2 linked regions of the Drosophila melanogaster genome follow. The protein of the gene in region 1 purifies or fractionates together with the protein of each later gene. This does not show direct contact. Each region holds a gene or a part of one and is shown in the gene's direction. Other genes may lie near its edges.

Evidence for each region. The genes of interacting proteins can lie anywhere in the genome.
Region 2: the proteins of gogo (region 1) and hts purify together in Drosophila melanogaster (affinity purification with western blotting; one study listed by BioGRID). This does not show direct contact.

The regions. Positions count from the first base shown.
Region 1 is NT_037436.4:20,290,260-20,298,492, reverse strand, and holds the start of gogo (golden goal), read left to right. Parts: upstream 1-3,359; 5' UTR 3,360-3,732; intron 3,733-7,340; exon of another isoform or gene 7,341-7,389; intron 7,390-7,544; exon of another isoform or gene 7,545-7,791; intron 7,792-8,233. Other genes in the region: Pex23 (peroxin 23), read left to right, coding at 1-289, 348-929, 995-1,033; FRG1 (FSHD region gene 1), read left to right, coding at 1,593-1,651, 1,704-1,886, 1,951-2,149, 2,209-2,408, 2,501-2,648.
Region 2 is NT_033778.4:19,421,904-19,428,395, reverse strand, and holds the start of hts (hu li tai shao), read left to right. Parts: upstream 1-3,492; 5' UTR 3,493-3,573; intron 3,574-4,281; exon of another isoform or gene 4,282-4,598; 5' UTR 4,599-4,802; intron 4,803-6,492. Other genes in the region: CalpA (Calpain-A), read right to left, coding at 34-426, 489-719, 778-1,018, 1,075-1,195, 1,258-1,382, 1,452-1,528, 1,590-1,766, 2,005-2,049 and 1 more. UniProt on the Drosophila melanogaster protein: Required for assembling actin at ring canals in developing egg chambers. Probably interacts with other developmental proteins involved in nurse cell/oocyte transport through the ring canals. Important for normal neuromotor function.

The DNA.
Region 1 (8,233 bases):
GCACATGTGGAGCGATGCTACTGGGCGGCAGAAGCGGAGCAAGGAGCACACCAAGCTGCTGTCTACGCACTGCGAATGGATCTCCGATTGGGCCATTGACTACAACATTCCTGGGGGCGCGGACAAGGAGGGCTGGCAATACGCCATCGACTTCCCCGCCAACTACCATGCTCACAAAAAACTCACAGATTGCGTGCGTCGACGAAGATGGATGAAGCGATGTCGTCTTAGCAGCAGCGGACCATGGCAGGAGCTTAGTCAGTCCAAAATCCTTGATGCTGCCCTGCAGGTATGGTTCTACTTAAAAAATTCTCAACATGGTTGTTTTTTAAACATTTTCCTACTAGGTATTGGATGAAGATGTGGATCACAGCTGTTCGGGTGAGAGAAACACAGCAGTGGCTGCCTGGGCGATTGCCTCCAATGGTGATGTCCTCATCCGGCATGGTGTATGCAGCTTAAACCCTCGTGGCGATGCCTGGGAGCACATAACCAGCGACCAGCCGTTAGTTGGGATCAGCGTGGGGCCCACAGGTCAGGTGTGGACTGTGGCGCGCAACGGCATGGTGTTCTTCCGGTATGGCATCAGCAGGCAGAATCCGTGCGGCGATGCCTGGCAACAAGTGGAGGCACCCGCGGGTGTGACCTTTAAAGCGATAAGCGTGGGTCGGGCTGGGATTTGGGCGCTGGACAACCAGCAACGTTTGGCTGTGCGTAAGGAGATTTCGAGGACTTTCCCTGAGGGCTCCCACTGGCAGTTTCTGCCCAATGCCGCCAATGTGCCACCGCACACGGATCAGCATTGTGGCTTCCGCTCGGTGTCCGTGGGCTCCGAGGTGTGGGCCATCTCCCTCAATGGTATCATTTGCAGGCGCTGCGGAATTACAGAGGAAAATCCTGCAGGCGTAGGATGGAACCTTGGCATTGCGGTATGCAATCTAAACATTGGGTTGGTTGAATTTATAATTAAAAAAAAATACCCTCTCCATTTCAGGGCCAATGGCAAAATGTCTCTGTCGAAGGATATATGTGATGGAGTTGAATACTTTATTTGTGCATTCCTATTTACTTACGGACGATCCTGTTTGTTGTATTTATTCATATTTACAAGCTTATATGTGACCATGCCAACGCTTTTTCCAAAGTATATGAAAATAAGATGTTTCCTATTTAAGCTATTTGAAACGTATTATTTACACATATTTATTTATAATTTATAATAATAATTTATAAAAGTATGTATCTAAGTCAAATGTTTAGTTTAAGTCTTTTGTTTAGTTTAACAAATCCAGCAGCCGTGATTGTATTTCCTTTTTGTAAGCAAATATATAATGAATTACGAGAATAAATATATGTATGTGATGAAAGATGAAATATGTCTTATCTCTCACAGATCAAAAATCATTTGATTTTAATTTTTTTACCAAGTTAATGAATGGTTTGAGTCCGTACTTTTTAAAATGTACGCTTACAGTATTTTATTGGTAAGATATCGATAGCCGATAGACCAGCTCATCTGCGATGTTGTATCGCATGTTTGTTTATTGTGTTGTAAACCAAAACTATATCAACAATTTACCTATTTTGTGACGATGTCAGACTACGATCATGCACGCATTAAGAAATTGGTTCTAAAAGGCGAGAAACTCAAGTATGTAACTACAAATCTGCCAATAGCATCAATTGAAATTCTCGATTTGTAGAAAGAGCAAAAAACGCAAGAAGGAAAAGGATGAGGCTGGATCTTCCAAAAAGGCCAAGGTAGTAGTGGATGAGGATGCCGTGAAGCACGGCGGTTGGTGGGCAGCAAAGACAGCGGCCGACATCACCGGTACAGTGTCCATAGAGTTTGGCGATAGGAGTTACCTAAAGGCCATGGACAATGGGTAATAGTGAAAAAGATCTGCCCATTGGTACTTTAATTATACCGGGTGTCCATTAACATTTTAGTCTCTTCACATTGGGAGCACCACACAACGCTGGCGATGGCCCAGATCCCGAGGAGATTTTCACGGCTTTTCCCATCAACGACCGAAAGGTAGCGTTTAAGTCTGGCTATGGCAAGTACTTGAAAATTGAGAAGGATGGAATGGTCACGGGGCGCTCCGAAGCAGTGGGCGGCATGGAGCAGTGGGAGCCGGTTTTTGAGGTAAGTCTTACCTATATACAAATGTTTTGAAACGATAAAACTAATCAACGTAATTAAAGGAACAACGAATGGCTCTTCTATCCGAAACCGGACACTTTATGTCGATCGATCCCCAAGACGACGCCTGCGTGGCATTGCGAAAGAAGGTGGGTCAGCATGAGATCTGTAAAGTGCGGAGTAATGCGAGCAGGGATGTGGTCATCGATACGGAGCCCAAGGAAGAAAAGGGAGACTTGGGCGAAGTCGAGAAGAACTATGTGTAAGTTCAGCTGATGATTATGATTTATAGGACTTAAAAAGGTTGAATTCCGCGTTACCCATTTCAAATTTCGAACCTTTCGCATTTTTTAGGAAAAAATTTCAAAAGTTCCAGGACAAGAAGATGCGGATTAATCAGAACGATGTCAAAGAACTCGAGCAGGCAAAAGCTCAGGGATCTTTGCATGAAACTCTTCTGGATAGACGCAGTAAAATGAAAGCCGATCGGTATTGCAAGTAAACCGACGCGAAGTGTTCATCATTCATTAAAAAAAGTTACCTCTAAAATAAGGTACGGGTTTTATTTTTATAAATATATATGTATATTTATTGGTATCTGAAAATATCTGAATACTTATTGGTTTAAATATTTAAAAGCAATATATTTCGTTCAGGCTTTCAAGCTTAGGCTTTTAAATAACAAATGATAGGTAAACTGTGTTCATATTCATAGTTTCAAGCAGAATCAGTATTTACCTAGTTAATTTCCCAGTTTACAACCAAAATTCAATATCAATCTATGTAGGCAGCACACAGATTTGAGCATGCAGATGCGGGATTTAAGCTGGCCAAGAGTTCAACTGGCCGGCAACAGCCTTTCCACCCCCTTTCGCCCGCCTTGCTGTAGTAAAACTAGCAGCAGACGGCGTCACAACATGACAATTCGCGCTGGATGTCCTCCACACCACCCAACTACTTCAGCCACCCCCTCGTCGGGTGGGAAATCAACCACCATGCGTTGCATCCTTGGTGCCCGTGCCCGCTCTCATCTCGGTCTCTCGCCCGCTCTCTCGGCGCAGTCCTCACACCATCGTTGGCGTGCGCCTCTCGCTTTTTCCACGAGGAGTCCGCTTGAAGTGCCGAATCCGGTTCACGTCCTGGTGGCTCGTGCTCGTCTGTGCGCTCGTGGCTTTATTTTGGCTCTGGCCGGTGGCTCAAAGTCGCGTGGCAATCAGTTTGCTGCCGTCTGTGTTCGTGGGTGAAAGTCCGCACCGCTTGGCTGTTCGGATTTTTTGCCGCATCTCGTAGATACTTCATATGGAAAACGCTTCTATCGGTTGGAATTGTATCTCGTGAATTGTGCCGCCGCCGTCAAGTTACACTTGAAAATTGTCAAAATTGAATTCACCGAACGTTAGTGAACAAAGGTCCTCCAAATGGCCATAACGAGTGCTGCGGTCTTTGTCTCGATTCGGTTTTCAAACCAAACTACTGGCGTTGCCGGGTTAAGTCAAAAGGTTCTGTAGATATACTTAAGTGCTCAGTGAACTACTCATCAACAGAATAATCGTGTAGTGCAACTGCATATATCATCCTGCTCTTTGGTGAGTGAAGTGATCTCATTGCAGTTATTATATTCTCTTTATACGACTGTCTGGTCTGGTCTGGTTTTGTTTCCCGCTCTCGTTTTTCGGTGGTGTTTCGAAAATTGCAGGCGATTCGGGGTGTTTTTTCAAACTGCCGCCGACGACAGGTATGGGATAATCAATTCCAAGGAAAACTAGAATCAACAAGGCTGCAATTTTATTCAAAAGTGTGGGACCACAGAAATCCTTTTGAGAAATATATAAATCTCGTTCTCGGGCATAAATCTAATTGAACTCAATGATTTACCATTCGAGTAAGTTGCGTGTGAAAAGCTCATACATTTGCAGATATGCAAAGGAAGGCGGAGTTAAATACTTTGGGAGATCGATATAAGAAGGAAATGGCTATTAGTCACTACGATTTGCTATAAAAGAGGATGTTATTTTAATACAAAACTGTGTTCATGTTATTCCCAAATGTTTTTAATTTGTGACACAGGGGTAAACAAAGTGGGTTGAGTGCACCAAACAATTTCTTATTCCTCAGTACAATTTTCAATCCTTGCGTGCTAACATTACTCAGATTCATAACTATTAAAACAAATGCTCCGGGTGTGATATTAGTGGATCGATAAAGCTAATCTTTTTAATTAGCTTAAGAGGGTATAGTTAGCAGCTCATTATTGATTCTAAAGCACACTGGAGATATGGTTATGCAATTTAAATCCTTGTTATCTGTAATGTATCTGTGAGTATATTTAACTCCAGTTCATTGGAAACAAAACATAAATTTGAATTGGTAACAAATTCCTTGTTTTGTAAACAGGACACATTGGTCTTCTTAAAGGGGCCGATCAACCTCAACATTTAAAATCCATTAAGTTGAATTTCCTTTGAGGGCTTTTCCCCTTTGTCTGGCCTGTTTCTCCTTTGTCAAGCCCAAAAGTGGTCAATTGCCAGGCAGACAGAGGGCGGAAAAGTCGACAATGGAAATCCGTCAGATTTCTTTAATTTCCTCAGCAGTCTTTGACTGCTGAAATGGTTTCCTTTTCAGCCTGTCAATTGATTTGGCTCAAGAATAACGCCATTGGAGGTAAAGAAGTTTGGCTTAAAGCCGTTGCCATTGTGTATGAAGTGTTGAAATTTGAGAAAAAAAAGGGTGTCTCTACTTCGGTTTATCATCATTTGCCCTGAATCCAATACCCTTTTCATACAATATCTAGGGAGCATTTCGAGAGCCAGCTCCAAACAGATTTGCATCAAAGTTGGCAACAAATAGACTGTGACTTGCAGTTGGTTTTAGCAATTACTCTTTTTATATTTTCGGACTTCCTGGTGGCTTTCACACACGAACCCATGCACATTGTACACCGATGCTTTTCTAATTACGTTCATGTACATACAACATGGACATCTGATGTCACAGGTCTTCTTCGTTGCATTCAATTTGACTCGCTTAGAAATGCACCACCTTCCCTGGACTACCTGGGTAAGTAACCACCACCCACACCCAGTTCATGGAGGAACACATGTCATGGTATACCCTGTGGGTACCTGGCGGAAAAGAAAACAGAACAGAACAGAACAAAGTGAGAGACCCAGACTAAATTAATCAGGGGCCAGGTAGCGATTGGAGAGAGCTGGCGGACTTCCTCGGGGGTTGTATCCATACCATGCCGTCCAATCCTACTGCAACAAGCGAGTGAGCCGTGGAAAACAACCCCATGCGGACCTTTATAACTAGGGATTCCCCATATGCTTTCCCTATATTCAAGTGACTGGAAACTAAACTAATGGGTATCTTATATATAAATACACATGTAGCAGGGTCTTAAACATGGTGTAAAACGTATTTCCTTTGATTACCAAATTTTCCGTATAAGCAATACCCATTAAAACTTTTAACCGACCTTTTTTCGGGACTAAAAATGTATCCACAACAGGTAACGTTTCGCTAACTTTTCCAATGTCGGGTAACTAGACTTCAAAATGTAAGGAAAGAGTTTAGAAGGTAAAGTCAGCCAGCCTTTTTGTGGATTTTTGGTAACTTTCTTTGGCAGGCAACTGTGAATATTGGGGATGAAAGTGTAAACAGCTGACGGCGGTCTGAAGTACCTCGTATGCCAAAGTCCTTTCTCACGGGTTAATTTCCTTTCGCAACGCCAACATGCAAACATACAAATGCTTGCAAAAATATTTATTTAGTAACTCGATGACCGTCAGTTGTCTCCAGTTACTCAAGACGATTTGTTGATTAACTCTAAATGGATTTGAAATATTTGCATATTGCACCATTTCCGTTGGATCCTTAAAATCCTTAAATTTCCGCAGGCGGAAAGGGGAATAATCCTTCCTTATATAGTTACTACTGCCTAATGCGAACTGTAATTAAACTGTGTCTGCATAATTTAAGTGCTTAATTTTGCTGAAGCGATTGCTGTGCCGTCGCCAAGTTGAAATGCAAATAAATACTCAAGGCCTACATGAAAACGGCAAAAAAGAGCGAAAGGCAAAGTTTTCTGGATAGCGCCTGCCTCGCAACTCCAGTGGCGCACGCATTCCGCCTCCGGAAAAGTATTTGTAACAGTGTTTAAACTCACATAGCCCTCCGTGGTTTGCGAACTATTAAAAAGTGAACCGAGTTCTTGGGCGGTGGGCGGTGGTGCGGGTAGGTCGGCCAGCACTTGGAAATGTGGGCGGTGCGGTGCTGGGATGATTATCCAAGTTTTAGCATTCTTTCTGGCTCGGCATTCGGCTCTCCAACGCCATCAAGAGCCACATAGCGCACAGTTATGGGAAAATCTTTTAATTAATTTAAAACTAATTTTCTTGAAAGCCAAGTGAAATGACCTTTGAGTGTGCCGAAAGCAGTGCACATTCTCGGAACGCAATTTAATTTAAATATTTTAGCCAGCTCCGCTTGCTTCACATGCAAATCTAGAACAACACCTCAACTATGAGGCTTTAAACGATATGCAATCTTGATTAAATCACAAACTTGTAATTCATGTAGTTTGCATCTCGGTGTTGTGCAACTGCAACCTAATCATATCACACAGATGCTCCCTTTGATCTGAGCGCAAAAAGTTCGCCAAGAGGGGATTTTTCCGGGGCTATAGTCTCGAATGGATGCCAAAGCGACTCTCCGATTGCCCACCACTTTGAGGATTCGACAGGCATTCAAATGCCTTCCCCTCATCCAATCCCCCATCCCAGCACCCGGTGAAAGTGGATTAGCAATTTGTTAAGCCAACAATTTACCCAGCTCCGTGGGGCTTCACTTCGTCGAGTTGTTTGCATTTGTCAGGACCATGCTGTTCTTTTCTGCAGTTCCTGCAGCGGAAGGATATCCGATGACCCTGCCGAATGCCGCCTAGGGATCCATGTACAGGAAACGAAATGAGGATATTATCCAACGAATTATATGAATAATGGTATGCAATGTTAGTTAAATGCCGAGCAAAACTGAAATGATAGATACATTTTAAATTTTTAAACTTAATATACAATTCCACGGTAAATTATATAAATTTTTAATAACGATTTTAAAATTCCTTTTAGATATGCTTGTAAAATTATAAGTTTGCTACTTGAAAGTTCATAGCTCATCGAATACTTATAGTAAGCACAAATGAAACATTAAAATAAGTTGGATATCATCTGAGTGTTAGTGTTGTAAGTATTCTTAACTTAACTATAATTGAATAGCATCAAAAGAATCTAAGATAGGACTATTTATATTTTTTTTCCCTGTGTACCATCAACCTTTTGCGCGGCTTCTCAGTCTCTCACTTTGTGTTTAATTGTAATTTTAACTTTTGCCATTTAAGTGTCTATTGTGTGCCATCTGGAGCGACTTGTCTGCACCGCCGGCGAAGCCTTTTCCGCTCATTCTGTCACGCAGTGTTTGCCGTTCGTAAATGTTTTTAGTTCGGCTAAATGCAATTGTGGCCACTTCTTGCACTCCCTGCACTTCCTGCCAACGCACGTGGCCCACTCGACTGCCTTCAATTGCCAGACGGGGCGTATACGCAATTTAAAGAGCTCTTTAAGTATGAGTGCGATAATTGTCGCTTTAATTATCAAACGAAATAACGAAATAAGCTGCTCAAATTGGGTATTGCATAATATTTATTTATCAAAAATAAAATAAATCGCAAAGCCTTTCAAAGTCGTGATTGGATTACATCTAATGCTTATAATAAACGTTAGTCGTAGCTACTATAAAACATTTGTTTCCACATGTACTTAAAATGAGATTTATATGAAAGCAGATTATGTTTAACTTTCGACCAAAAGTACTAGGCTTTATATCCGCAAAAAGGTGAAAATAATAACAATACTCTGCCACAGCTTATGATGCCTGTAAAGTCGACAATTTATGAGCATTGAGTTCGAGTCACCTAGGTTTTTAATTTTCTGCTAAACGCATGGAAGGACTCACATATGCAATTACGCGCACAATGGTCTCATGGTTTCATTTGCGATTTATGCGAGAATGGAACTCGTCCGTCGCGAC
Region 2 (6,492 bases), on another chromosome or scaffold:
GCAGCCATATCCTGGATATATCCGTATACGTACTTCGCGGGTGTTGATAAAGTGCGGCGATCTTCCCACAGAAGACTTGTATCTGAAAAAGTTCAGACCCTGGGGACGGTTTTCCAGTTCGCGATCATTAAGGCTATAGATAGCGAAACCAATGGTCAGACACTCCATTCCCATATTGCGCTTCGATCTGCGATTCTTTTGCATTAAGGCCACGATGACGGTGCACTGTCCCTCTTCGTCTTCCTCATCAGGATCGACTAGGGTGATAATATACTGGGGGTTGTGCCAGAAGGTATCCAGGAAATTGCGGCAACCACCAGCTGTAACACCGGGTGTCCATTCTCCCTCATACATGGACATCTCCCACTTTCGCTTGCCACTGTTTTGTTGGTCCTCGGTCAGTGAGTCCGGCGACAAATTGCAAATCTGAACAAAATCATGGCGAATGAATCATGAAATATTTCACCAAGAAATATTAATAGTCCTACCTCCACGCGATCGAAGTGGTTAAGAAAATCTTGGAAGGACATCCAGAACTCTCCGTCTCTGTCGAATGTTAGTCCAATCTCCGCCTTCTGTTCCTCGGGTATATAGCGCCATTCTGGTGAGCTATCACTCCATGGTCCATTCCACTCGGCTTCATTGCCCCAAGGATTTCGCATTCTTATCATAGGGATCTTTCCCTGACGATTTGGCGTTACTATGTCAATAAGGCAAACCTGTTGACATAAGATTAATTAATAAAATGTTCTTATCATAGCAATTTTCCGAACAAACCTTGGTTATGGAGTAAGCGTGACCACGGATTAAGCCCTGAGGAGTTTCTGCCTCCGTGACATTTGGATCAGGCTCAATCGAGCATCCCATCATGGAATTGCGTTCAGCTGCTTTTTGCAGAATGGTGAATAGATTGCCGGGTGCTTCTTTTAAATCGTACCACTCGGATACGCCGCCAGTAAAGTCCTCCATGGCCTCGCAAGTGCTGCCTCCCTTTAGTGCCTCGTAGGATCCATGAAGTCTAGAAAGCATATATACATCAGTTGACCATAAAGTATGTGAATAATGTAGTCCTACTTGGCATAAGCCTTCTCCAGCAGGGCGCTCCAGAACTCGTTCTTCTCCGTGGAGTGCATGTACATCAGCTCTCCATTATAAGTGGGCAAACGGTCATCAATGATTACATCAACCCATTTACCTTAAAATTTTAAACTAAAATTGTAAGAAGCGCATGAATAATTTTTTTAATAAATAATTTACCATACTGCCAAAAGCGGAAATGGAAGATACCAGCATAGTTCTCCTCGAAACTCTGTTCCGCTGGAATTACCCGAAAGAAAAGGTTGGATTCCTGAGTTAAATTGGCTGTGGCAGCCAAGAGCCAACTGTAAATGTAAGCATTTATTTAAAACTATTAATTATTCTGGCTGCGGAAATAGAGATTTTGTTCTTACCAGTCACCAAGCTCGCCTTGCTGAACATCAAAACGCGAATAACCCTCCACAAAAAACTGGGGATTCTCGGCAATTTCCTTTATAATTAAAGCATTTATACCTTTAGTTACGGGTAATATGGTAGTATCTAAAACTTACATGAGGTCTCAGCCATTCGATGTGACGATCTGGACGCCGGGAAAACTGAAGAGACTCGTTCGAAGCCGGAAAAAGTGGATCTTCGAAAAGGGAACCACTGGCCAGGCAGCTGTTCAATATTGTCTCATAGTCCTGCACCTCGGAATAGGGTCCCAGGCTCGAGCTCTTCTCTCCCAGCTAAAAAATACATGCTATTAGTGATATGAATCTAACAAAATTGATGAACTTGATTAAGAGTATTATGTATGTACACGATAAAGTTGTGTAATGGAGTTGTATAAACGATGATGCGTTTTACACTTTACATGCGAAAGAAAAAGAACACAAGGACAACACAGTACGACACTTTGGCAGCGCATTATCCTTGGAATGGAATTATGTCAATGCCATTACGATGACGGGAGTAGGTACTTACGTTCCCATAGTACAACGTACTATTACTTTGAGATTGCAATGGTTGCTAATGAGTGGAATGTATATGTATTTGTTAACATGCATATGTAGATTTCAATGGATTGTTTTCTATGTTTGTTTAGTATAGTATAGCGCCCTATAAATAACTGTTGATAACCGTGTGGGTCAACTTACAACTCTCATATTCTTGATGCTGGGCAGAACCCTCTTGGTGTCGGCCTCCTTCTTGATGAAGATCTCGTTGATCACCGATCCGACCACATCCTTGGCCGCTCCCATTGCAGCCTCACCAGCTGCATTGAGGAACTCCTGTCCCGCTTGCCTCAAGAATCCCCTCAAGTCGTCCATCGTGCAGATATCTGAAAATATATGTACATATATAGTTTAATATCAGTTAGCAGTGTAAGGTGCCGCCTCAGATTAAAAACCCATTAATAAATATTTATTGTTCAAACATTTGATGACTAGTTAGCAACATCCAATATTTTTTATATCGCCCATATTTACTTATAAGCCTCGCGGTGGAATTAAAAGCACACCCAGAGACATAAATATGGTTTAACGAGCATTACAGAATCGTTAGTATTCCCAGTGTGACTGGAAGTCGGGCTAAATGAAATTACTTTAATTCACGCAAACTGAAATTATACTTTGGAGACAAGAATGTCTCGGTTCGCACCCAAATATAATTCAAATGTTTCTACATATACAATGCTGTATTTATACATATGTAGCCGCTATATATATATGCTATATTGTGTGACATCATTCGGAAGCATGAGATTCTCTAGTGACTCAAAGGGTGTGCGCCATTCGGGAGATTAAGCTTCGTTTTTTATCCATATTAAGCCGGGATATTGACATTGACCCATGGAACTACTACATATGTACGACACATATAGGGTATATATTTCTGTGACAATAGTAAATTGGCCTTTAATTGGGGCGAAATATGCTAGATTGGCTGACCCATCTGTTATTGTATTTGCGAACATTGGTAATTCTACGGCGAAACCCAAACAGGTTTGGTAATTAATGCATTCTTCTGGCCTGGCTCATTCCCGTGACCACCATATTTTCGTAAAGAATAGTATATTCGTCATAGGCACTTGATATTTCTAATACTATATATATTTGCCCATTTTCCAACGGACCTTGATTGGTCGAGAGAACGATTTCCGAATCGAATCACGCACTTTCACTCCCCAAAATCACAGCACAACAATAAAGTAACGGAACCACGCACCTTCACCGCACGGAGATATTTACTCACTACAAATATTTATATCTGTAGCTCAACACCTGACTGCTATCGAATGTTTTGGTATTTATTTTTATCGAAGTATTTTGCCGAAATTTGTGATTTGCCAGCCCTATTTCAATGTAAATATATCGATAATCGCCCGATTTTACTGAAAAATATTTCGATAAGAGCATCGATATTTCAAACAAATATCGACCCATTGACATGCGTCAGGTTTGTCCATCCCTAACAAAATCGTAGTACGAAATATCGAAAACGAAACACATCACGCGGGCGAAATTTCGTGAAGTTCAGCATTTACAAATTGTAAGCAGTGGTTTTATCGAACCCATTGACCAATTAGTGGGCTTCTAAAATTAGTGATAGACTTTATTAAATGAAACGAGAAAATAGAGGCGAATACACCCGTACAGCAAATTGACCATCGATTTTTTCACGGCATTGCCGGTGACGAGAATGCGACGCCGTTCATACACACACACGCACGGACACGAATGTGTGTATATGGCGCGGCGCTTGTGTGTGAAAGTGTATTCGTATAAATAATATGACATAATCGACGTGTGCGGCTTAATTGACATAGTTTTTGTGCGAAGAATACCTAAAAGTGCGAAGAGAGCGCCAAAAAAGGCGTTTTTTGTTTGTGGTCAAGGTGGCAAAAAGGACTTGCACCGCTATTTTCCCCTGCGCTTTGCTCCAAATATTCGTTCCTCCCCATACACTCTCTCGCACACACACAAGCGTGTATATTTGGGCGTTGCAGGATGAAGAACTCTCTTTCTCTCTCCCACTTTCCTTCGCTCTCTTCTCGTATTCTCTTGAACACTTTTGCGCAATTTGAGTGATTTGCAAGGCAAACTAATGCTTTTCGATTGTTTACCGAATTTAGTTAACCCCGTTTGGAAGCCAGTTTGTCTGGAAGTTACTTCAGTTTAGTTGTTTTCAACATCTCCACTTGACGTTGCCTAACACTGCCCGCCCTCTCTCTCTCGGCTTCTTTGCCACTGTCCGTGCGCAGTTCTCTTTTGCGCTTCATTCGTGCTCTGCCCGTCGGACGTGTCCGTACGATTTTGGATTAAGTTCTCGTAGGCAATTCAACTTGAAATATTTATTCGCTGCGGTGCAACTAAAATTTAATTCAAAGAATTAAAAGTGCTAAGTGCTGTTAGGAGCGGCAATTTTGCAAAAAAAAAAATATTAACAGTTATTTGGTGTAGTGCAAGAAGCCCAAAAGAGAACAAAATTATTTATTTTAAACATATTGCATTCAAGGCAATAAAAAGTTAAATCTATTAAAATTTTCTACCCTCTCCCTCCCCTTTTATTGATAGTCTCCCTCTGTGGCGTATGTGTGTTTGTACGAATTAGCGGCTGAAAACCAAAAACCGAGGTGCGAGAGCGAGAATACATTTATAAAAAACGCGTGCGTTTCTCCTCTAACACATACAGTGAGTGTGACCGTTGTATTTGTGACCTGTGCCTGTGTTAGCGGCCACTGGAGGATCAACGAATTTAAAAGAATACTAAAAGTACCGGTGAGTATTCTTGCATCTACCGGATGATGTGTTATAATCCCGTTAAATAGTGAATGTCCCCTCGTGCCCTGCATTCGTTTTAACCGTTATGACGATGAGCGGCAATTCGGCCGGTGACGCCATCTTTTGTGCTTCTCTAATAAGTGTTGTTTTTGTTTTTTGGGTTTGGTCAAGCTCACGCAACACGGCGTGTGTGAGTGAGTAGTGTGTCTATTTTGTTGTTATGCTTCATAGACAGTGGCGAAACTACAGATTATTATTCAGGGGTCATAAATGTCATTTAAGATCAAGAACATATTATATTTAAATTTATCCGGAAATATGAGCAAATGTTTAAGGTGTAGCACCACATTGACCCCCATTCAGACGCCACTGTTTGAGCTTCTAGTTCTAGCCACTTTTCTTCTCTCTTTCTCTTTTTTCGGGTGGGTGTGATTGTGTGTGCGTGTGCTTTTCCTTTCCATATGATTCATGCTTCTTTCTACCTCCGGCTTTCTATGCGCTTGTCAGATTAAAAAAAAAACCCATTTTCCAATTCTCGTCGCTGATTTTATTCATCTTTTATTTGGCAATTTGTTGCGAATGCCACTTGCAAATCTCTAGCCGTGTGCCTAATGCACTTGGGCAATAAATCCGCCTGCTGGCGCGCATCTGTGGGCAAGTTTCATGACCCACTTTTCCTCCTTGGTCTCTCGCCTTTCAGCAAAGTAAATAGTGAAAAGCAGCAACAAGTGATAAACAGATTTGTAAATATTGAAAACTTGTTTATGCCATTTGTCAGTGCAACCCAATGCCTACAAAATAGACTTTATAGGTATCGGAGGTAGTTCTTGATACTCAGTCAGTTCGATTTTTAAATTTTTTGTTGTCATTCAGAGCCCATCTTGATATTTCTGTAATTTATTGTAATCTTGAACGAATAGGAATTGATAACCTTTTACTTTAATTATTCTTTAACCCAATTCAATGCGCTATGCTTAAATGAAACATTACGCTTATAGAATTTAATATAATTTAAATTAGCAATGTTTCCTATAAAACTTTGTTTTATATATAGCCTTCTATAGATGTTCTTATGCAAGTCATAGGAGTTCGATTGTGTGTGTGCTCTCCCGCAATCTTATCAGAACCTTCGCGCTGGTTACGTTTTCTTGTTAGATTGCTGTTTCTATACAAGTACCTACATATCCACATTACAACAAGCCAACAACATTCCCAATTTAAGTTATAAGGAATTTCTCCTTTGCCACCAACTAACTACCTACCTATTTACAACATTCTTCGATTTCTATTACCTTACTTCCTGTTCTATATACTCATCATATCAAATTCGAGCATTCCATTTGCCTTAGCTACATATTTTGCGATACATGACGTCATTTCGCACACATTGCTTATAAAAAAGGTAAAAAAATAAAATAAAAATTTGCTCTTTTTGTTTGCTGGCTTTTGTTGCTAATTCGAATTTACTCATAGAAATACATGGGCAGTGGGCTTTATTTATTCATTGCTTATGCTGCCTCCCCCTTTATCACCCCTTATCAAGCTTTTCACTTGTTCCTCTTGCTCTGTTGTCCGTTTTCAATTCGCAAATTAGACGTGACTCGTTGGTTGAGGGTTTCAATTGAGGTTTTTTGCACACCGCAAGTTGCATTTAGAGAATTTTCGAAAATCGTTGAGGCATTATTTG